4 linked regions of the Drosophila melanogaster genome follow. The protein of the gene in region 4 purifies or fractionates together with the protein of the main gene of each other region. This does not show direct contact. Each region holds a gene or a part of one and is shown on either strand. Other genes may lie near its edges. The genes, in order: Rdh1, Mec2, Gale and ScsbetaG.

Region 1 (4,942 bases), on a different chromosome or scaffold from region 4:
ATCGGCTGGAACGACAAGGCTCCCAAGGCTAAAGCCGTGATAACGCCGGCAGAGGCCACGGCGGAGGTGGAGGGCCTGCCGGAGAACATTTTCACGGAACCCTTGAACTTGCGGAATGTGACAACCATCACCCAGCGACATAGCCAGCCGGCGGACCAGCCCACGGCCGTTGGGAGTCTTTATCCTCAGCGCAGGTCCCTGTGGATTAAGCGGTCGCTTCGTTGCCGCCAGTGCGAGCACAATCTAATCAAACCGGAGTACCATCCCACATCGATAAAGTACCGCATTCAGCACTTCGCCAGCTACCATGTTCCTGAAGTGGTGATGGTGCGCTGCGAGCAGCCACTGGTGGCAGGAAAAAGCAACGCCATTTTGCTGAAGCTCACGAATCCGACTATATACGATATGACAATTCGACTGTTGACTGCATCTCCTCCTGAGGATCCACAGCTGTCAACAGAGGCCACTCGTGTTGCGAAAGAGGAACCCATTTCTTCGTCCCCACTTCTAAAAGCAGTGGGCATCACACTGTCGCGTCAAAACTCAACACGGGAGGTAAAACGAGATGTGATTGATATATCCAATGCCGAAATAGTTCCGTTGGAGAGCGAGTTCGTTCTGAACCAGCGCGATGACTCGAAAGAGTTCGACGAGGACGTGCAACTGTCCACCGAGGAGCCCAAGTTTATTGTCTGGCGGAAGGGCAACAAGGTGCTTTTGCGGCTACAGTTTACCCCAGCAGAGGAGCTGTCCGGATTAGCAGACGTCGTTCTGGGCTTCTATATGCAGTACACATACGTCAACACCGTAAACAATGCGCAAGAGAAGAGGGAACCCACAACCCATGTGCTCCACTCCAGGGTGTTTATCACGGCGGGAGCAACTGAGCAGAAAGCCAACTAAACTGGAAACTTATTAGCCAACAGGCGTACTAATCGACTTATGCGAAATATGAAATATGCTTTATGAAAGCTAGAGAAATATGTATTTATTTATTAATCCGTTCGTGAAACAGCAGCTAGTATTCAAGTATAATAAAAGGCTTGTTCTAACACTATTCGTTCTTCTTTAGTTATTAGCTTCCAGCTTATCTAATCCGGTCCACTTCTCGCTCTCGGCCCACAGGAACTTGGCAACCTTATCGTCCAAGGCACCAGAAGCCACAGGCTTTGGTTTGCAGTCACTGAAGTACAGGCCAGAGATGTTCTTAAGCTCCGGATCCAAAGCAGCGTAAATCGAGGTCTGAGCTCCACTCTTCGGTGTCTTTAAAAGCGGCCAAATCATTGGCTTTAAAAAGAACCTAGGAAGGTTAACAGGTATTACTGGGAAGGTCCTAATTCACTTATTCATCACTTACTTCACAAGGTTTGTCTGGAAGAAGGCCCAGTTCCGCGCCAGCTCAGTGTCCACCACACCAGGGTGAAGGGCATTTACTGTGACTCCGCTGCCCTCCAAACGCTTGGCCAATTCCCGGGTGAACAGGACGTTGGCCAACTTGCTCTGGCTGTAGGCTAGGCCCTCATCATACGACTTCTCGCTGTTGAGGTCGGCTACGTTAATGGAGCCACGCGCATGTGCCAGACTGGACACAACGACAATGCGACTGGGAGCCGAGTTCTGAAATTTTGTAAGACCATTATCTGACGCACTTGACTATTATATAGCACACTTGCCTTCAGTACGTCGAGCAGCAAGTTAGTCAACAAAAAGTGACCAATATGATTTACTCCCAGCTGCAGTTCGTAGCCATCCTTGGTTAGGGTCTTGGGACAACGCATCACGCCGGCATTGTTGATCAGGACGTGAAGCTTGGGTTGCTCCTTCTTGAAGCTGATTGATAGGATAGGTTTTTAAATCTTACAGAGACAAGAAAATTCTCTGGAGGTAAGCTTACCCATCAACAAATTTGCGAATGGAGTCTAGGGAACTTAGGTCCAGCTCTCGAGAGAATATATTCTGGTTATTTGTCTCCTTGATGATATCCTTGCGGGCCTTTTCACATCGGTTCATATCCCTGCAAGCCAAGTACACAGTTCCCCCACGTCTGGCTATCTCCAGAGCCGTCTCCTTGCCAATGCCCGTGTTGGCACCGGTCACAATGAATACCTTTCCGGTCTCATCGGTGTCCTTCGTAAACTTTCCACCTTGCATGTACTCCCTGGAATTATCAATAGGAATTACCTGAAAAGCTGTTATCTATTACCCGGGGGAATCATAGTAGCGAGTCATGGATGCGTAGTCACACTGGTATATTTCATAATTACACGAAATAATTACCGCAACTCACTTCAAGAAGTAGATGCCCACGCCGATAGTAGCTGGCCACATAATCAAGGGGCTCAATAAGCAATCGATGAAAATGCACATTTTGAATATCTTTGTACAATTCCTTGTATTTAGGGTGTTGTCAGATCTTATTTCAATCGTTGAGTGCGTTCTGGTACGAACAGCACAGCTGTTAATATATTACTGAGCACAGCTACCCCACACAAACATATATTATCGCTAATTCGGAGTGAGAACCTGACGAAATGGAGAACGTCGGGAGAGAGATTCTTAACGAAGGTCAAGAGAAAACGAATTCTCAATAATATGTTATGATAGTGGAAAGCATTCAAACAAATAAAAGCAATTCCATTGATGTTTATATTTACTCAATGGGTATATTACGCGTGGAGTAAAAGGGTATAATAGGTTCGCTGAACAGTATGTAACATATAGAATAAAGTTTATATTTAGACTTGATCAGCAACACTAGTCAAAACGATCCATCCAGCCATATCCGTCCGTTTGAACGTCGAGATATAGGGAACTAACTGATTCGTTATGTTACATACATACTTTCCAACTAATTTAGTATACCCTCCTACTCCAGGAATAACGGGTACAAAAATAAAGCATGAATCATCCAAATTGATTCCATCACTTTTACAAAAAAAACAAAAGAATTTGACCATTTTTCTTTAGTACTGAACACAGAAATGCAACAATGTTGATCTCAAAATACAAATTTTAGATTAGGTAAAGCTTTTTTGGGAGCATTTCTTTATTTTCAGCTTGTAGAATCCGTAAGAATTCTACAATTCAAACATAAATTATTACATTTTGCGTTAGTCTTCATTATGATAAGCTATTAAAATAATAAATTATGAAATGGCGAGGGATAAACTAATGGTTGCTTAATCAACTTTGGTTGAATTCACGCCGGTCCACTTCTCGCTCTCCGCCCAGAGGAACTTTCCAGTCTTGTCGTCCTGGGCAGCTGCGGACACTTCCTTTGGCTGGCAGTCGCTAAAGTAGAGCCCGGAAACATCCTTTAGTGCAGGATCCAGGGCTGCGTAGAGAGTGGTCTGCGCTCCATTGCGAGGGGTTTTGAAGAGTACCCACAGGAGGGGCTTGAGCAGTAGCCTAAGCGATACGAGTGTTAATATCAAACTCAAGTAGTGCCCACTTATGTCTTCTATCTTACTGTGCAAAGGGGTGTTTCAGGAACTTCCAATTCCTCGACAGCTCCGTGTCCACGGCACCGGGATGTAGGGAGTTGGTTGTGACCCCCGTTCCCTCCAGGCGCTTGGCCAATTCCCGGGTGAACAGGACGTTGGCCAGCTTGCTCTGACTATAGGCACCGATTCTGCTGTACGACTTTTCACTGTTTAGGTCGGCAGTTTTAATGAAACCTTGGGTGTGCACCAGGCTGGAAACGTTCACGATGCGACTGGGTGCAGTTTTCTAGTGAGATTAAGCAGGGAGTTTGGTTAACAAGGTGCTAAGAAAGTCCTGAGTACCCAAAATACCTTCAATACGTCCAGCAGCAAGTGGGTGAGCAGGAAGTGTCCCATATGGTTGACTCCCAACTGCATTTCGAAGCCATCCTTGGTCAGTGTTCTGGGACAGTGCATAACTCCTGCATTGTTTATCAGGACATGAAGCTTATCCTGCTCTTTCTTGAATCTAATAAACGAGGGAAATCAGTAACGCATTCGTCGATCTATCATGTTTGCGTTTACCCAGCAGCGAATTTGCGAATGGATTCCAGCGAACTCAAGTCCAGTTCTCGAGAGAATATGTTCTGGTTATTTGTCTCCCTGATAATATCCTGGCGCGCCTTCTCGCACCGGTTCATATCCCGGCATGCCATGTACACAGTGCCTCCTCGCTTGGCAATCTCCAGGACCGTCTCCTTGCCAATGCCCGTGTTGGCACCGGTGACAATGAACACCTTGCCGGTCTCATCGGTCTGCTTGGTGAACTGACCGCCCTGCATGTATTTTCTGAAATTCATTAATTCTTATCACTCTATTTCAACACAGGCCGCAATTCACGAGCGTATTAATCATTACTCAGCAGTAGAACTATTCCATGCAAATACCTTAGCAAGTAGGCAGCCAGTCCGATAATGGACGGCCAAAAATGAGGGGGCAGCACAAGCAATTAGTAAGGCAGCCCATTTTGTTTGGATACAGTATAGATCTTGCCGCCGTTTGTGTTCGTTTCACTTGCTGGTTCTGTCAATGAATGTTTGCCCGTCCGTTTGGAACTGCCTTTTATACGAAATGTACGCTATCTGCTCCAAAATACACGAAAGCCACAAAACGCTTACTCACGATGAGTTTGATTCGAAACTGCGAGAGAACGAAATATGTTTGGGGTTTGCTGAGAGCTTTTTGCTTCTAGTTTATAAAAACCTCATTGCAAGTCGAGCAAATGCATGATAAGCTAAATAACTATCTGCAAGTCTAATTTAATTAATACCTAATCTTATAATACCATATTATTCTATTATTATTATTCTTATTTATATTCTATTATTTTCGATTAGTTTTTCACCTGCTTCTATGACAGCTCATGACTTAAACCGAAATCATATATTGCTAAATAGTTCAGATTCTAGTGACGCCAAGGCAACGTTAACTAAATGTTTATTTAAAAAATGCAATTACTA
Region 2 (5,580 bases), on a different chromosome or scaffold from region 4:
ATCTGCTTCAAGGTGGTCTCCGAGTACGAGCGAGCGGTGATCTTCCGGATGGGGCGACTGCGCAGCGGCGGAGCCCGTGGTCCCGGGGTCTTCTTTGTGCTGCCCTGCGTGGACGACTACTATCCGGTGGATCTGCGCACCGTCTCCTTTGACGTGCCGCCGCAGGAGGTGCTCTCCAAGGACTCGGTTACTGTGACGGTAGATGCGGTTGTCTACTACCGCATCAGCGATCCCCTCAAGGCGGTCATCCAGGTGTACAATTACAGCCATTCGACGAGTCTCCTGGCGGCCACCACGCTGCGCAATGTGCTCGGCACCAGGAATCTGTCCGAGCTGCTGACCGAACGCGAGACCATCTCGCACACCATGCAGATGTCCCTGGACGAGGCCACCGATCCCTGGGGCGTTAAGGTGGAGCGCGTGGAGATGTGAGTAGCCAACTGCCGAAAGTCGTGATGTGATCATGACATGATCCACTCTATCCATGATCCGCTTGCAGCAAGGACGTATCCTTGCCAACTGCCCTCCAGCGGGCGATGGCCGCCGAGGCGGAGGCAGCGAGGGAGGCGCGGGCCAAGGTCATTGCCGCCGAGGGCGAGATGAAGTCGTCGAGGGCTCTGCGCGAGGCTTCCGAGATCATCTCGGCCAGTCCATCCGCCCTGCAGGTGAGTCATCTTCTTCCATCTGAATCCAACCATCGGACATTTGGAACTGGCCCAAATGGTTTCATTCGTTCCATCTTCTTCTCTACTTAGTTGCGATACTTGCAAACACTGAGCAGCATTTCAACCGAGAAGAATTCGACCATCATCTTCCCGCTGCCCATGGAGCTGCTCACGCCCTTCCTGAATACCCAAGCACACTCGCAGCAGCTGCAACTGCAACACCAGCAGCAGCTGCAACAGCAACAGCAGCAGCATCAGCACCAACAACAACAACATCCTGCGGCTCCTGGCACGCCACTCCATCGACACCCGCACCAACACCACCAGTGACGCTCGATGTCGGTGCTGCAACCATATCTGGAGGCACTGCATCGCTGCGAGCTGCAGCGTCAGCAGAAGCAACAGCGAAGCGGAGCGGCTGCAGCGGGAGCGGCGGATGACGATGACGACATCGTGGGTTTCTTGCTCTAGTGGAACGGCGGCAGCAGCGACAGAAAGCGGAACTGTCCGGAAAATCCGGAAAATGAGTCACCAATGAATTCGAATGAAAGTGCCATGGAATTCCCTAGATTCTGGAGAGATTCAAACATGGTTCGGACTTAAAAATAAATTTTTTTTTTTTAGAATTTATTCTAATATGTCGAATTTAGTATGCAATAGTAACTGAGGCTTTTCCAAGGCTTTTCCTTCTTCATTCACAGTCGTTTTAAGTAGAGACGTTATATTTAAAATAACCAATATTATTTGTTTGTATCTTAAGAATTAATAACAATAGCTAACTACAAACCAGGGTAAAAGCTAACCATTTAAATAAACCAAATGATTCAGAAAACACATTTTTTTTTTCAGTTCTTCCCCCTTTTTCGAAACAACAAAATTTACATTTATATATGATATATATATATGTATGTACATATTTGCTCTTCGCTTATCTAAATAACTCAGATTTGCATGCCACTTCAGCGAGTGTGGCAGATAAGCTCTTCAGTGCTAATGTGACCGCCAGATCAGAATTGAGTCACCATCGGGTGGCTCCAGCCAATGACCCGTGACCCCAAAGCAGAACTGCGTCTCAATGCTCCAGCTGAGATAACCGATTGATTAAAGTGCTAAACGCACTTGGGCCAGATAGAGCTTACTCGGCTTTCATTGATCGTCGGTCGGAATAATCTGAAAGTGTACGCCTCCAGTTGGCAATTCTTTCGGCGCAGTGCAGTGAATCATCCGTGGTGACCCATGGCTCTCGACTTACAGAGCGGCTCTTGGTGTTTCCCCGGTCGTAGATACACTACACTGAACGAAAATTTACGAGCCGATGCATTTACATTCCATTCCATTACATTCTCTTATATGGCATGTGCTCAATTGCTGTGGAGGATGTACGGACTAGAGATCGCCTCTTTCAGTGGCGGCACACTTGGTTCGTGGTGTTTCAGTGCAGTGCTTCTTTTCTCTCACTGTTGAATCGCATTTAAGCCGCTCGGCAGCTCAGCGTAGCGATAATGCCAATGCGATACTTCGTATCTGAGAGAACCAGTGCGCTCTTATCACGTGAGAACGCTTTTGGGCATTCAGTTTGGCTTTTGCGGCGCTGACCGCTGGCGACAGTTTCGAATCCATAGCCGATCGGAGAGCAACGAACGTAGGCCAGAACGGAGCAGAGAAACAGCAATGGAGCCGCACCAGGATTCGCCCGTGTACGCCAACTACGAAGATATGCGCAACTCTGGGCCGGCCAGCTCCACGGCGTACATGGTCAACATGGGCGCCGCCGGCATGGCACCCGAGCCGGCACTTCGAGTGCCCGGCACCACGCAGCAGTATCGTGGATTCAAAACTTGTAAGCGGGCGGAAACGGTGTATACTATAGATGCAGCAAGATGATGACCCATCCCGGCCAATATTAGGAGAATTATTATTGTTAAAAAAAAACAAGTCTTTGCTTACTGTCAAGCGCTAATCACTTTAGATCGATTGAGATACGATTTCTTGGAATCGCTGGTTCAGATAAGATTGCAACAGCATTTTGATCGCGTGAAAAGTTTGTTTTTGGCTCAAAGCATTCTACAATATTTCAGACATGCAAAACCGCTTGATTCGGTTAATAGTATTCACTAGATAGGAGTTCTAAAAATACAAACTATCTCTCGCTTTATCAAAGTAGTACTAGTAGCAATTTGATTTCCATCGTAATCCCACATAATCGTCAATTGCTACAACATTCTAATTGTATTGGCGCATATATATTACACCTGTCTATATTTTTAATCGTAGGAATTTTTATTGGACTCCAAGATAAGCGGGCTGATTGGTGTTTATCCGTGTTTTCTTTTTTTTGATTGTGATGGCTATTGCTTTTCACAGCTTTCTCTTTTTCAAGTTGTTACATAGTCCATCATAGTCCTGTTTTACTTAATAATAAGTTGGTCTCTTCGGAATCCGGACAAAGAAGGTACTTCATCTTGGCCATCGAATTGAAGTGGACTTATCTACGTTTCTCTTGCGGCACAATTATTGTACACATATGCCTGAAATATGGCCATTTTGTAGATGAATATTTCATATTCATATTCCTAACATCCCATTGCAGCGGAGAACGAGCCCAAGGGCTGCATGGAATGGGTGGTCACCCTGTTCTCCGTGCTGATCTTCATCATCACATCGCCCATCGCCATCTTCATATGCTTCAAGGTGGTGGCGGAGTACGAGCGGGCGATCATCTTCCGGCTGGGCAGACTGAGCGGCGGAGCTCGTGGTCCCGGCATGTTCTTCATCCTGCCGTGCATCGATGAGTACCGCAAGGTGGACCTGCGCACGGTTACCTTCAATGTGCCGCAGCAGGAGATGCTGACGAAGGATTCCGTGACGGTCACTGTGGACGCCGTTGTCTACTATCGCATCAGTGATCCCCTTTATGCGGTCATCCAGGTCGAGGACTACAGCATGTCCACTCGCCTCCTGGCGGCCACCACGCTCCGAAATATCGTCGGCACTCGCAACCTGTCCGAACTGCTAACCGAGCGCGAAACCCTGGCCCACAATATGCAGGCCACGTTGGACGAGGCCACCGAGCCGTGGGGCGTCATGGTGGAGCGCGTTGAGATGTAAGTAGCCATTTAGTAGGCATTTGACATCCATCAGATCAGATCAGTATTTCTTAACATCTGTACGTTGTATGCACTTCACCCGCTGACAGCAAGGATGTCTCCCTGCCCGTTTCCATGCAGCGTGCCATGGCCGCCGAAGCGGAGGCAGCTCGTGATGCTCGTGCCAAGGTGATCGCCGCCGAGGGTGAGAAGAAGTCCGCCACAGCGCTCAAGGAGGCATCCGATGTCATTTCCGCCAGTCCATCGGCCTTGCAGGTGGGTGTTGTCCTAGTAAAAGCTGAAATCAATCGTTGAGCACGGATTACCAGCCATTCGAATTTTTCTGTCATCACAGCTGCGCTACTTGCAAACCCTGAGCAGCATCTCCGCCGAGAAGAACTCCACCATTATCTTTCCTCTGCCCATGGAGCTGCTTACTCCGTATCTGGCCAAATATGCCCACTTGATGGGCCCGCCACCGGAACTTAAGCAATCGCCAGAAAAGTCAGATAACATAGTTTTAGACGCACTGGACGCTTGGCCGAAAACCAACCTATGATTTGAATCTAGGGCGTTGCCAGAGTTTGAAAATATTAATGTCTTATTCATTTTTTTTTTTTTTTTAATAAATGCAATTCGCACTAGCTGGCAGCTTCAGCAATCGGAAACTTGCCGCCATTTTTCATTTAACGATTGCACGTGAATTCATTTGGTTTACTTTTGCAAGAGAACTTTATTGCTAAACGATGGCGGACAAAGAAAACAGCCCCAACAACAAGAACACAGGTGGTTTCCCCGCGGAGGAGGAAAAGCAGAAGGAGAACGATCAGCAGAAGGAGAACGATCAGCAGAAGGAGAACGATCAGCAGGAGGAAGTGCAGGAAGAGCCGACAAAGGATGAATCCAAGGAGGCCGGTTCGACGCCGCCTCCAAAGCACATGGGAGTTCACAATTCGGCTCGGGCAGAGCTGGCTCGGCTGCTCGTCGAGTTGTTGGTACAACAGGCAGAACTGGATGCAACCAACGGTGGCAGCGTGTCAGGGAATCTCGATGGCGGCAATTCCAATGAGTCCCAACCGTTGAACGTGCCGCCTACGGATGCGCTCCTGGTCCGCGGCAAAGCAATTGAGAATGTTATGTACAGCTATATGCTTGGTGACACGGTCTACTTCATTGTCACCTGGAAGGGATCCAAGTGGGGGGAAGCCGTGCCTGTTCAGGAGATCAAACATGTGCACCCCAAGCTACTCATTGACTACATTAAGAGCCTGAAGCTACAGGACTGAAAAAACCTCCGAAGCCCGAGGATTTATAATATAACTGGAGCAGATCTCCAAATTGACTTTATCCATTATCATTATCCATCCATGAAGAAAATGTTAAAAGATCTTGAATCAACTCACAGTATTTAAGTTAAATTACTTTATTTTTTTTTTCGTTTTTGTCTTGTAACAATAAGTTTGCTTCAAAATAAAATTATCCTTTTTATTGTTTGTAAGTAATTCAAATTATTTTGTAAAGAATGTTTCGAAATAACGAATTGTTAAGGCACAAACACATTTGTTTCTCAAAATCAAGGTACAGGGTATGTTCAAATTGGTGTTCAGATTATTCCAATCTGAACACCAATTGGGTTGATTCCTAAAATATCATCCACTTGGTATGACTTGAATTAGATTGGATCACTAATAGTCAAATGGAATCATAACCATGTTGTGGACACAGGAGGTCAAATAAAAAGATGACCATAGAGAATGTTTAATGGCAATTGGATTCATAATGTTTCCTTTCGATTCATCCAGTGAATAACCAGACGCTCAATTGTATTA
Region 3 (5,849 bases), 4.9 Mb from region 4:
GCAGTCCCGCCGCCCGAGCAGGTCTGCGGATCCACGACAAGATCCTGCAGTGCAACGGCTACGACTTCACCATGGTCACCCACAAAAAGGCCGTGAGCTACATCCGGAAAAACCCGATACTCAACATGCTGGTGGCCCGCAAGGGCGTGACCTCCACATAAGTGGTGCTCGGAGCAGGGTCTCCACAGACTACAGCAGTATTTAAGCGGCATTTAAACTATCCCCTCCACCGCCCCTCTGGGCTACGGATCTCTTTGCCTCCTGCAACCTATGCGAATACTTAGAACTACCATATTATACATATTAATTCATTACGTATGCATATCGCACACACATGTAGCCAGACGTAAATGTAGCACCTAGTAATGCTTCTTGTTGAATTCGATTTCTTTGCCTCTCCATCACTTGTTGAACGAATCGCCAAGCTCCTAAGTGTAAAACAGATTGCCAAATACCGATACAAACAAACACTCCCAGAAACAACAGGCTCGAATATAAACAATTTTGTACTTTTATACGTGCAGACCATTCCAAAACCAAACAGAAGCAGCAGCCGAACGCAGAGTTGTTGAAAGAAACATACATTCATAGTACATACTTGTGATAAATGACTTTAACTGTGCAGATATGTGCGAAGAAGGCGCATCACTTAAGTTTAAAATTGAGTTTTTAATGTTATATTGCATTTGAATAAATGTTTGCTAAATAAATGTGCGAGTTAGACGTCTTCTTGTAACTTTGGTCAGCTTAATGTGATTATGCCATTTTTGATTAAGATCTGACAAATGGTTGATGCAGTTGTGTGTTTATTTTACCTAATGCCAAGTGTAATCTCCCAGTGCCACCTTGTCGGTGACCTTAATTACGTGATTGCGCCAATTGGCACGCGTCAATGATGCCAGCGGTCACCAAACGCGTAAATGACGGTCACAAAATTACATGACAACAGCGAAAAGCCTTTTTAATTACAAAGTACTTTGGATTACATACGCACACTTGCACACATCGAAGTGAGCGAATACTACACGAAATTTGGAAAGAAATATACACAACTAGAGGCAAATAGAAATTGCTACCTGAGCCATTATCAGGCGTAGTAACTCAGGAACTTGCGGAGCGGCAGGAACGTGGCGATATACAGCTCTACTTGTTGGCATACCCGTTTGGGTTCTGGCTCTGCCAGCGCCACGTGTCCTCGCACATCTTGTCGATGCCACGCTCGGCCTTCCAGCCCAGCTTCTTATCCGCCAACGTGGCGTCCGCATAGCAAGTGGCCACATCTCCGGACCGTCGGTCCACCAGAGTGTAGTTGACCTTCTTGCCGGAGGCCTTCTCAAACGCCTTCACCATGTCCAGCACCGAGTAGCCCACGCCGGTGCCCAAATTGTAGGCGAAAAAGCCCGTCTCCGCGATGTTGCGCAGCTTGTCCAACGCCTTTACGTGTCCCTCGGCCAGGTCCACGATGTGGATGTAATCGCGCACGCCGGTGCCGTCGTGCGTGGGAAAGTCGCTGCCGTAGACACTCAGGCTGGGACGTCGACCCACGGCCACCTGTGCGATGTAGGGCATCAGGTTGTTGGGCTCGCCGTTCGGATCCTCGCCAATCCGACCACTGATGTGGGCACCCACCGGGTTGAAGTACCGCAGCGAAACCACTGCCCAACGCTGAAAGAGCGAATTCTTTAGTACAGAACTTATGGACATCAAGAAATGACATCCTCCTACCTTGTCAGACTTGCACAGATCCTTGAGAATCTCCTCGGTGAAATATTTAGTCTTGCCGTAGGGCGATGTACAGTTGCCCGTGGGATGCTCCTCGGTCACGGGCAGGAACTTTGGCTCACCGTATACGGTGGCGCTGGAGCTGTACACGAACTTGAAGACATTGTTGTCGGCCATCGCCTCCAGCAGGACATTGGTGCCGGTCATGTTGTTGTGGTAGTACTGCAAAGGTATGCGGCAGGACTCACCCACGGCCTTCAGGGCGGCAAAGTGGGCCACCATGTCGATTTTGTGCTGAAAGGGATGTAAATATATGTACCTATTAGTTTGGGAAATCCAAATCTGTAATAACCAGCTCTTCAGTAAGCACAAGGATATTGCCTCTTATAAACGTAAAGTGCAGAATTTAATAGCAATTAAATGAAAGTATCACATTGATTTCAAGGTGATTTATTGACAAACAATTATGTGTTCTTTAAATAGCTGTTGATAGTGCTGATTAGGTAAAAAATTCCACCACAACAAATACTGCTCAATCTATTCAGTAATCAGTGCGCGTAAGCACAAAGCTGTGTGCATTTATGGTTGAATAAAAATATGAAAAAGTATCAGCTTAAGATATTTCATGGCTATTTGGGCAACAACGTGCATTTTTATAATGTTCATTACATGTAAATAAACGCTTTGTTTTTTATAAACGACGGTGGTTAACAAAAAAAACCCCTTTGATCGAACATCTCAAGAATGCGTGATAACCTGCTCGAATTAGCGAATTCTCTTGGTTATCAATGGATGTAAACACTGCAATCTGGGCTCCCGACCACCCAGATTGTAGTGTACGTGCCCGGGAGCTGTTGTGGATGTGGATGCCAGCGCACCAACTCGAATGCGACCTCGCCAAGTGGGTCTTTCATTCAGGGTCGATCAGCACGGCGGTTCGTCGGAAGTGCCCCGCCACTTGAGCAAACAACAAAACAAGCGCGAACGAGAAAAAAGCTGATAGCGCGCATGCCAGATAAGCTTGATTGAATGGTATCCAGTTGGCACATTTGCCCCAGAACCTCCGAACTGCTGACGTGCCAGCTATGTAATGCTACGTGTGCTCACCTCCTGGAAGACGGAGCGCACCTGCTCCCTGTCCGTGATGTCCACTCTATAGAAGTTGACCTTCTTGCCGGTGATTTCCTGCACCCGGCTGAGGGCCTCCGGCAGTTTGGCCCCGCTGCTGTAGGCGTTGCACAGGTTGTCCACGCAGATGACGTTGTAGCCCGCATTGAGCATCTCCAGAACCGTGTGGGAGCCAATGTAGCCGGCTCCTCCGGTGACCAGGACCGTGGGTGGGGCCATCCTAAGTGGCGAAAGGGGAAAACACACGAAATTAGGCCACACGAGTGCCCAGTTCTTATTGACGTCACCAAAATCGTTCGGCAGGCGTGCGAAATAGCCGTCTGCTTGGCGAAAAACGGGTAACTCACCTGTTTACAGGTGATTATGGTAGAGAATCCCCGCTCAGTGAATCAGATTGAGTTTAGCTAGACGCAAGAGACGTGCCCTTGAAACGATTCCGCCTCGGATTCCGATGCCTAAAAACAACGCCTCTGATCTCCGACGAGATTGCAGATGATGGTGTAGATGAAGATGCCAAAGATCGCTGACCGTTGAGTGCTATCGTGTGCTAACCCGTTTCTTGCACTCTTCCTCATTCATCTGTGTTGTCGTACGTCTGTTTTGATCTGCGGTCGCTGGCCAACTGAACTGGTGGCTCTCCACGGAGCCTATTTAACTTGTTCTCCGTTCTCCGAACGCGCACTTCTTATCAGTTTCGGTGGTTTGGTGGGCTCGGAGCTCTCCTGTCACTTTAATTCAAGTGCTAGCAGCAGGCTGACTTGGTCGACGGACGGCCGGGGTCACCTCGAAGTGCATCCTTATCGCCGCTGACCTTTGGCTCCCGATTCCATGCCCATTAATGCAATTTCCAGGTGCTCTTCACTTCGCTCTCCGAATAAAAGTAAACAAAGTGGTAGCGTTGCCACGCGACATGGCTCGTTCGACGCTGCCATATTCGCCGATTTTTCAGCTACCTGGCACAGTGGGATTCGTCTCGATAAATTTCTTGGCTGTCTATCGATATGAACAACTTAAAACAAGAAGTGCGCCCATATCGGTGTTTAAATGTGAAAACATTCTGGAGACGCGAATAGGGGTGGTAAAAAAATAGTTTTCATTATAAAGCGTATAAAATCACAAATCGTAATTAATTAAACATATGATAAGAGAATAACGCCAAATTCATAATGCAATGTAATTTTGTAACGCATTCTATCCCCAAGATAATAATCTTATATGATCTGGCATCACTGCCATGTGCTTCTGTAAAATTTACATGTAGATAAGTTGACATTTTACTTGACTGATAAACGGAGCAGATTCAAAATTAATTTTAAACTCGAAAAGCAAACGTTTGATAACAACAAACTTCAGTACAATGCGTACAACTACATCGTCATAAATAACTAGAACCGCAGTTCGGACAGCTTTTTGGTGACCCAAATTCGGTTCAAATCTTTAATGATAAGCGGAAGTGCATGTGCTCAATACGCAATGAAAAAGATCTCACAATGTTTACAACTTAATTGAGAATGTATTTGCGCAGCGACGAGTCTCTCAATGAAATGCGCCTGCTTTCGGTTCTGAATGAATGGAATGCATGAATGGGTCGAAAGCTTCGGAGCTTTAACCTAGATTGGCATTTGACCGGCTTTATCTTATGGTTTTTGGAGTGTCGATAATCGTTATTTGTTTGAATAGTTCTATCTCAGTCAATAAATCGTTTTTCTGATTATGGTTTCCGAATTCCATTTCAATTTATCGCTAAAAAAAATTGCGGCATAAGAGTCCCAAAATTAGAACAAACCGTAAAATACTGCTTCGGCATAATAATCTACATAATCATCTGGAAACGAATCGATTCTCGAATGCGGGAAAGCTCACTCGATAAGGAAGACGCAGTACATACATATACCGCAAGACCATGCTTACCGCACACCGCATGTACTACATACATACGTACATCTACATATATTTTGAGATTCTCGGGCGGCACACATATGTACATACTGACAACCGGAAATGAGTTAGTTGAACTTCCGGCATTGCTCGCCTCTGAATGGCGCTGGCCTGCAATATTTTTTTATGTGAGCGACAATAATTTGCACAGTCAGAGTCGCAGCCACAGAAACTGAACTGAAACAGAATTGGAAAGAGAAAGACAGAACGGACAAGTCTCCAAGTGGAAGTGGTCGATCCTAAAGCTACGTATTTGTACATAATGTGCTGCGGTCTAGTCTACATACATAAATATATATATATATATATGTATAGAAGCGAGCTCCCAATCCAATCCCGCCTGCACATATGGGGGAATTATCAGTTCGGTCCGAGAGTTGGATTGCTGTTATTGCTGGGGCTAAGGTTTTCGGGGGGTCTGGCCCGGCCCGTTAGCTATGTCCGTCTTCTTGTTTACTTACTGTACTTATATGTTTATTAGTATGTGATCTTTTATTTCAAACACTTTCCACTCCACGAATAGAATGCCAAACGAATAGAATTTCCTTGCTTACACTTATTGTAAATTTCGGTTATCCATCTTAATAAAACCAATTTTCCGCATTATTGTTTGTGCCCGATAATCATCTATGTATGTTCTGCGTTCCCTCAAAAGAGACCACCCCAGATAAGCACCGACTCTGGCACTTTAATTTGATCTCGGATCGGCAATGGGAAAATGAAGTAGGGAAATAGTGAAAGTGGTGCACTTTTCACATGGCCCAACGGAGACCGACTTGGAAACTGGGATCGCCCGGGCCACCATAAATGCTTATCACAAATTAAGCAATTTATACATATTTCGTGACGTTTTCTGGCAGAACCCGCATGGCCCGTCTAAAAGTTTTCAATTCCTAAATTGAAGATATGGAAAATTAAATTCAAAACGCACTTTTCTATGCGCGATCCGAAGTCGAGACTACATACATAAATTTATTACATTTATTAAATTTGTTACTTTGACTCAAAAAATTCGAAAAAATTGGACCACTCTTCTGAACTTTTCTGCCCACCTTTACTTA
Region 4 (5,231 bases):
TCGACTATCCGCGCACCAGCTCAAATCGCGTCTGAGATTCCTTGAACTGAATTCTCTTCTTGTGCTGCACGTGGGCTTCACTGAGGAACAAAGTAGACGCCACCAGGGTTAACACAGTACCCACACACGCCAGGATAAAGGACCAGCCAAACCAATTGTTCGCATGCTCCGGCATCCAGCCATTCCGGTTGCCAAATCCAGCGAATACAATCACTGCAATGGCTGCACTTACTCCAGCACCGAGAAGCACATATCCCAACGATTTAATGAGCGTAATGAAGTGCTTTTGATCCGGACCAGCACACAGGATGAAGACCAGTACTCCGATGGCAGATACCAACATCCCGATGAAGGCCAAAGTGTAGAAGAACTGAGTGGCTATCATGAAGGCGGGCAGCAGGAATCCACGGATCTCATCGTAACCCGTGGTAAATGGGTCATACACCCAACGGCAGCCCACGAAGAATCTCCGCTGGCTATCGTCGTTCACGTCCGGCAGCGACCGGAAGCAGTGCACCCACAATCCCAGGCGATCCAGCTTGGCGCCCGTGATGCGGTAATCACTGACCAACCAACTGGGCGTTGCAAACGCAATCACGATGAAGGCAAAGGCGAACACGAAGACGCCAACGCCACAACTTCCGGATAGTGTGCGTCTCTTCATGTTCACTGTGTGACTGTTTTGCGTGTGGCTGGTGGGCAGGTGCTCCTGGGAATCCTCGCGTGCGAAGTGGGATGGTTTTTGCATCCTTTGAGTGGGAAATTCTATTGGAATTTCGCTGGTTTCCTGGGGAAATGTTTGTTTGGTTTGCTGTTTGGGTGTGGACTGCAGTGTGGCCGCACTGGTAATACCGCAGAATACCATGGGGCCACAAAATAAATACCAAATGCTACGGTACCAATAAATTTCAAAACAGTAAATTAAACAATTTAGATTATACATTTTTTAAATTAAGAAATAAATGATTTTAAATTTAATTAATTTTTGATAGATGGCTAAGGTACTTCTTAAATCAAATAAAAAGCTTTTTATATAGAATATAACATATTTTGGTTATATTGTCGATAAAAACTTATACTTAAAAGGCCCAACCGTTGTAAATGCTAATGAGCGTCGTTTCATTCTGGAAGACATGCTCTCCTCAATCGTTCCCCTAATTAAGGGCTGCCACAGCCTTGTGGGCGGCATCATCCAAGTCACTGGCTGTCTGAATGGGCAGGCCCGAATTCTTCAGGATCTCGCGAGCCTGATTTACATTGGTGCCCTCCAGTCGCACAACCAGTGGAACATTCAGTTGCAGCTTTTTGGATGCAGCCACAATGCCATTGGCAATGGTGGCACAATTGACAATGCCGCCAAAGACATTGACCAGGATTCCCTTGACTTTCGGGTCAGCAGTGAGGATCTCGAAGGCTTTGGCCACCTGATCCTCCCTGACGCCACCGCCGACGTCCAAAAAGTTGGCGGGCTCGCCTCCATTCAGCTTGATGATGTCCATGGTGGCCATGGCCAGGCCGGCACCATTAACCAAGCAGCCAATGTTGCCATCCATGGCGACGTAGTTCAGATTGTACTTGGCCGCCTCCACTTCTCGGGGATCGGATTCCTCCTCGGTGACGTCCATGGAGAAAATATCCTTCTGACGGAACTGGGCATTGTCGTCAAAGTTGAGCTTAGCATCAACGGAGATAACTTCTCCCTTATCCGTCTCCGCCAGCGGGTTGATCTCGATCTGTACGGCATCCACAGCTTTGAAGAGAGTATAGAGTTTTTGAATTTCCTCAGCACAACGCTTTACAGAGTCTCCCTTGAACTCCAAGAACTTGGCCACCTCCAAGAGCGTCGACTCCGGTATGGGCTTGCCAATGTCTAGCGGAACAGTCTTAATTTTCTCAGGGGTTTCCTCGGCCACCGCCTCGATATCCATGCCACCGGCAGGTGAGGCAATCAGCACGGGTCCATTGTGCTCGCGGTCCAGCAAGATGCAGAGATAGGTCTCGCGGGTGATGTTGATACTGCGTGCCACCATGACCTTGTTGACCAAAATTCCCGATTTGGGCGTTTGTTTCGTTATCAGTCGGTTTCCAATCATCTGCTGGGTAAGCGAAAGCACCTCGCTCTTGCTGGCAAAATGTTAAATAATTATTAGTATAAGCTGGTCTTATCACTTGTGTTTTTAAGGTACACTCTGGCTTTCACAAACTTTTATCATTTTCAATATGGGCAGAATGATAAGATTAATCTTATATACAAATGATATTGTAGAACATAAATAATATTAATTTTTTAGATAAAATGTGAATGTGAATAGCCGGAATAGACCTAATCTATAATACTTGGTGGTGATATGGACGCCGCCTTTGAATCCGTTGTCGAAAGTTCCCTTGCCACGCCCACCGGCGAGAATCTGCGCCTTCACCACGTATTCCGGGCACTCTGAAACACAGAAGCACAGCATTTAACACCAATTAGCCCAGGGATTACATAAACACCGGCATGGTTCCGTCCTCCACTTACCAAAAGTCTTGACGACCTCGGCATCTGCCTTGGAGTTATTCAAGACCTTGAATTGCTGTATGGCCACTCCATACTTCTGGAGGAGATCCTTGCTCTGGAACTCCAGCAGATTCAGGTTGCGCACGGGAACCTATCATCGAAAGATAAACAAAGCCAAGACAAAGGTCACTTCAACTTCTCTTTTCGAAGAGTTGATATATTATAGAGGAATGTGAGTGCGAGGAAACCTTATGAACGATGTGACGGGCTGTGGTAACTGCTTTCAGTAGGAACGACATCTTGGCTGATCTGCGGTGGTAACTGAATACCTTGGCTAACTTGGTATTAATTTATTTTCGTAACTTTGTCGGTAAATTTAGTTTAAAAACACAACCGAAAATCGCCGCCGTTCCACGATGCTTATCACTGCACAATGTGACCAAGAAGCACGACTACTTTCCATGGTGATAAAAATATACCAAATGCCACTGCCATCTTGAACTAGTTCTCGCGAAGCAATGGTCTTACTGTTGCAGTCAGCTGAAAATCAGCTGTCGTTGTGTACTTTTTTTCTTCGGCTAATAGTCAGCGAAGAATGACGAATAACACAAATTGAATGAAAAACCTGAGTGAGACGGAAGCCGAAGTCACCATGCAAGAAAATGTAGTCCACGAATCATTGCCCCAGATCCCGGTGGCCACTTCGGTGAGCTGTTGCTTCGTTCTGGCTGTTCTGTACGTGGGTAGCCTCTACATCTGGAGCACCAAACACAACCGGGATCATCCAACCACGGTCAAGAGAAGATTCGCCAGTGTGTCCATGGTGATGCTGGCAGCCCCGTTCTTCGTTTACTTCTTCTCATCGCCGGAGCTGCTCAGCCGGGTACCATTTCCCAAGCTGCTCGGTTTGCGCTTGGAGGGATTGTGGCAGGCTGTTGTTATACCATACAGCCTGACGGTGCTGCTCTTCCTGGGACCCATCTTTGTCAACATGCAGAACGAGTCCGTGCGCTCCTACTTCGGTAATAGTTAAAGCCCCTCTGCCTATCAGCCCCTTCTCACTGCTTGATTTGAATTGCAGATCTGGACTACTGGAGGGGATCATTTGGCAGCATCATCTGGGTGCGCAACCATGTGATAGCACCGCTGAGCGAGGAGTTCGTGTTCCGAGCCTGCATGATGCCCCTGATCCTGCAGAGCTTTTCGCCCCTGGTCGCCGTTTTCATAACGCCGCTTTTCTTCGGAGTAGCCCACTTGCATCACATAGCCGAACGCCTGAGCTTAGGCGTGGAGTTGAGCACTGCCCTATTGATTGGACTGTTCCAGTTCATCTACACCACGCTATTTGGCTTCTATTCGGCCTTTCTATTTGCCCGTACAGGTCATGTGATGGCTCCCATCTTGGTGCACGCGTTTTGCAATCATATGGGTCTGCCGGATCTGCAGGATCTGTGGCAGCAGGATCTCTGGCGACGAGTAGTGGCCATTATTCTCTACTTAGCTGGATTTGTTGGATGGATGTTCCTGGTACCACTGGCTACCGATCCGTCGATCTATGATAACACCCTTTACTGGAATGCATAATTAAGTTAATTTGTATGTATCAACCGCTGCCATACGTCGGTTCATTCATGTGTACATAAATATTCGTGCATATATTATGTTTATATGTAAATTGCATATCCCATTCGAGCCAATTCCGCGCACAAAAAAAAGACTTCCGATGAAAAAGAAAAAAGAAAGTACAGATAAATGTATACCTAATAGTAAGTCAGTTGTACTGTTTTGTTGTTCGAGAGTACTTTTATTACAACTACTTTTGTTTGCATTTGTTTATTAAACAATTTCTTAACATTTATAAATATTATTTATTATTATTATTAAGAAAGAAATATGAATTCAAATTTAGGCGGTATTATTGGTTCCGCGCAATCACTAGTTCCAACATATCGGTATTGGGCAGCTGGTCACACTGCCACTCAGACCCACATAGGCTTATCGATAGGGCCCGATAGGCCCAGACAAGTAAATTTTGGTAAATATGTGATGATTTAAAACGACGCACAACAAGCGAGCATCTAAACGACCCGAAAATCGAGAGGTCAGCGCCAGGAGGCCCAATCGGAGGTAATCCCGCAGAGCGGCGACCCGTGCTAGAACTGGGAAAACAGATCCGCGTTCTGGTGACGTTTGTGGTCTTTGCCCAGGACTACGAATGATAGTAATTATAGAACAATTAAGACTAACCTCAACCCCCCGGGGTCATCCTGGGACACTTGCAGGCCGCGCGGAAGACCACGTCAACGCACACGCAAATAGAACCCAAATCTTAAGCAGAAATAGCAACAACAACACAACCACCCACCCAACCGCACACAGAATGTATTGCCTACAATGCCTGCTGCCCGTACTACTGATACCGAAACCCTCGAATCCGGCCCTGATGGAAACGCACGTGATGTTCATAGTCCTCTACCTGGTCGGATTCTTCCTGGAGCGAAAGCCCTGCACCATCTGCAGCCTCGTATTCCTCACAGCCGTATCCCTGATATGCTACAGTGGCGTCGGGAACTGCATATTTTGGGGCAACTGCGAGGGCCATCAATGTGAGAATGGCTAGAGGGTCAGCAGTGCGCCGCTTATCTTTCACTCCCACACAAAGAAAGCCCCCGTAGTCATAGTCAACGAAGATAAAGTGCTAATAATAACTACCTTTTTACGGAATTACGTTCGC

The links.
Region 1: the proteins of ScsbetaG (region 4) and Rdh1 purify together in Drosophila melanogaster (affinity purification with mass spectrometry, with the first as the bait; one large-scale study listed by BioGRID). This does not show direct contact.
Region 2: the proteins of ScsbetaG (region 4) and Mec2 purify together in Drosophila melanogaster (affinity purification with mass spectrometry, with the first as the bait; one large-scale study listed by BioGRID). This does not show direct contact.
Region 3: the proteins of ScsbetaG (region 4) and Gale purify together in Drosophila melanogaster (affinity purification with mass spectrometry, with the first as the bait; one large-scale study listed by BioGRID). This does not show direct contact.

What each region holds. Positions count from the first base shown.
Region 1 is NT_033778.4:7,663,362-7,668,303, reverse strand, and holds Rdh1 (retinol dehydrogenase 1), read right to left. Parts: upstream 2,477-4,942; 5' UTR 2,368-2,476; coding exon 2,288-2,367; intron 2,159-2,287; coding exon 1,895-2,158; intron 1,831-1,894; coding exon 1,674-1,830; intron 1,618-1,673; coding exon 1,358-1,617; intron 1,301-1,357; coding exon 1,069-1,300; 3' UTR 961-1,068; downstream 1-960. Other genes in the region: DCTN4-p62 (dynactin 4, p62 subunit), read left to right, coding at 1-903; CG2065 (uncharacterized protein), read right to left, coding at 3,180-3,408, 3,470-3,729, 3,795-3,951, 4,008-4,264.
Region 2 is NC_004354.4:19,185,779-19,191,358, forward strand, and holds Mec2 (Mec2), read left to right. Parts: upstream 1-2,256; 5' UTR 2,257-2,336; coding exon 2,337-2,505; intron 2,506-3,255; coding exon 3,256-3,769; intron 3,770-3,861; coding exon 3,862-4,027; intron 4,028-4,106; coding exon 4,107-4,310; 3' UTR 4,311-4,415; downstream 4,416-5,580. Other genes in the region: CG33253 (uncharacterized protein), read left to right, coding at 1-428, 500-665, 756-995; HP1D3csd (heterochromatin protein 1D3 chromoshadow domain), read left to right, coding at 4,498-5,037.
Region 3 is NT_037436.4:646,400-652,248, reverse strand, and holds Gale (UDP-galactose 4'-epimerase), read right to left. Parts: upstream 3,695-5,849; 5' UTR 3,198-3,694; intron 3,071-3,197; 5' UTR 3,070-3,070; coding exon 2,830-3,069; intron 2,017-2,829; coding exon 1,726-2,016; intron 1,666-1,725; coding exon 1,144-1,665; 3' UTR 938-1,143; downstream 1-937. Other genes in the region: CG3402 (uncharacterized protein), read left to right, coding at 1-161. UniProt on the Drosophila melanogaster protein: Catalyzes two distinct but analogous reactions: the reversible epimerization of UDP-glucose to UDP-galactose and the reversible epimerization of UDP-N-acetylglucosamine to UDP-N-acetylgalactosamine.
Region 4 is NT_037436.4:5,560,748-5,565,978, forward strand, and holds ScsbetaG (Succinyl-coenzyme A synthetase beta subunit, GDP-forming), read right to left. Parts: upstream 2,945-5,231; 5' UTR 2,797-2,944; coding exon 2,746-2,796; intron 2,649-2,745; coding exon 2,519-2,648; intron 2,438-2,518; coding exon 2,338-2,437; intron 2,125-2,337; coding exon 1,155-2,124; 3' UTR 954-1,154; downstream 1-953. Other genes in the region: sinu (sinuous), read right to left, coding at 5-748; Sras (severas), read left to right, coding at 3,114-3,519, 3,579-4,081; bc10, read left to right, coding at 4,878-5,117.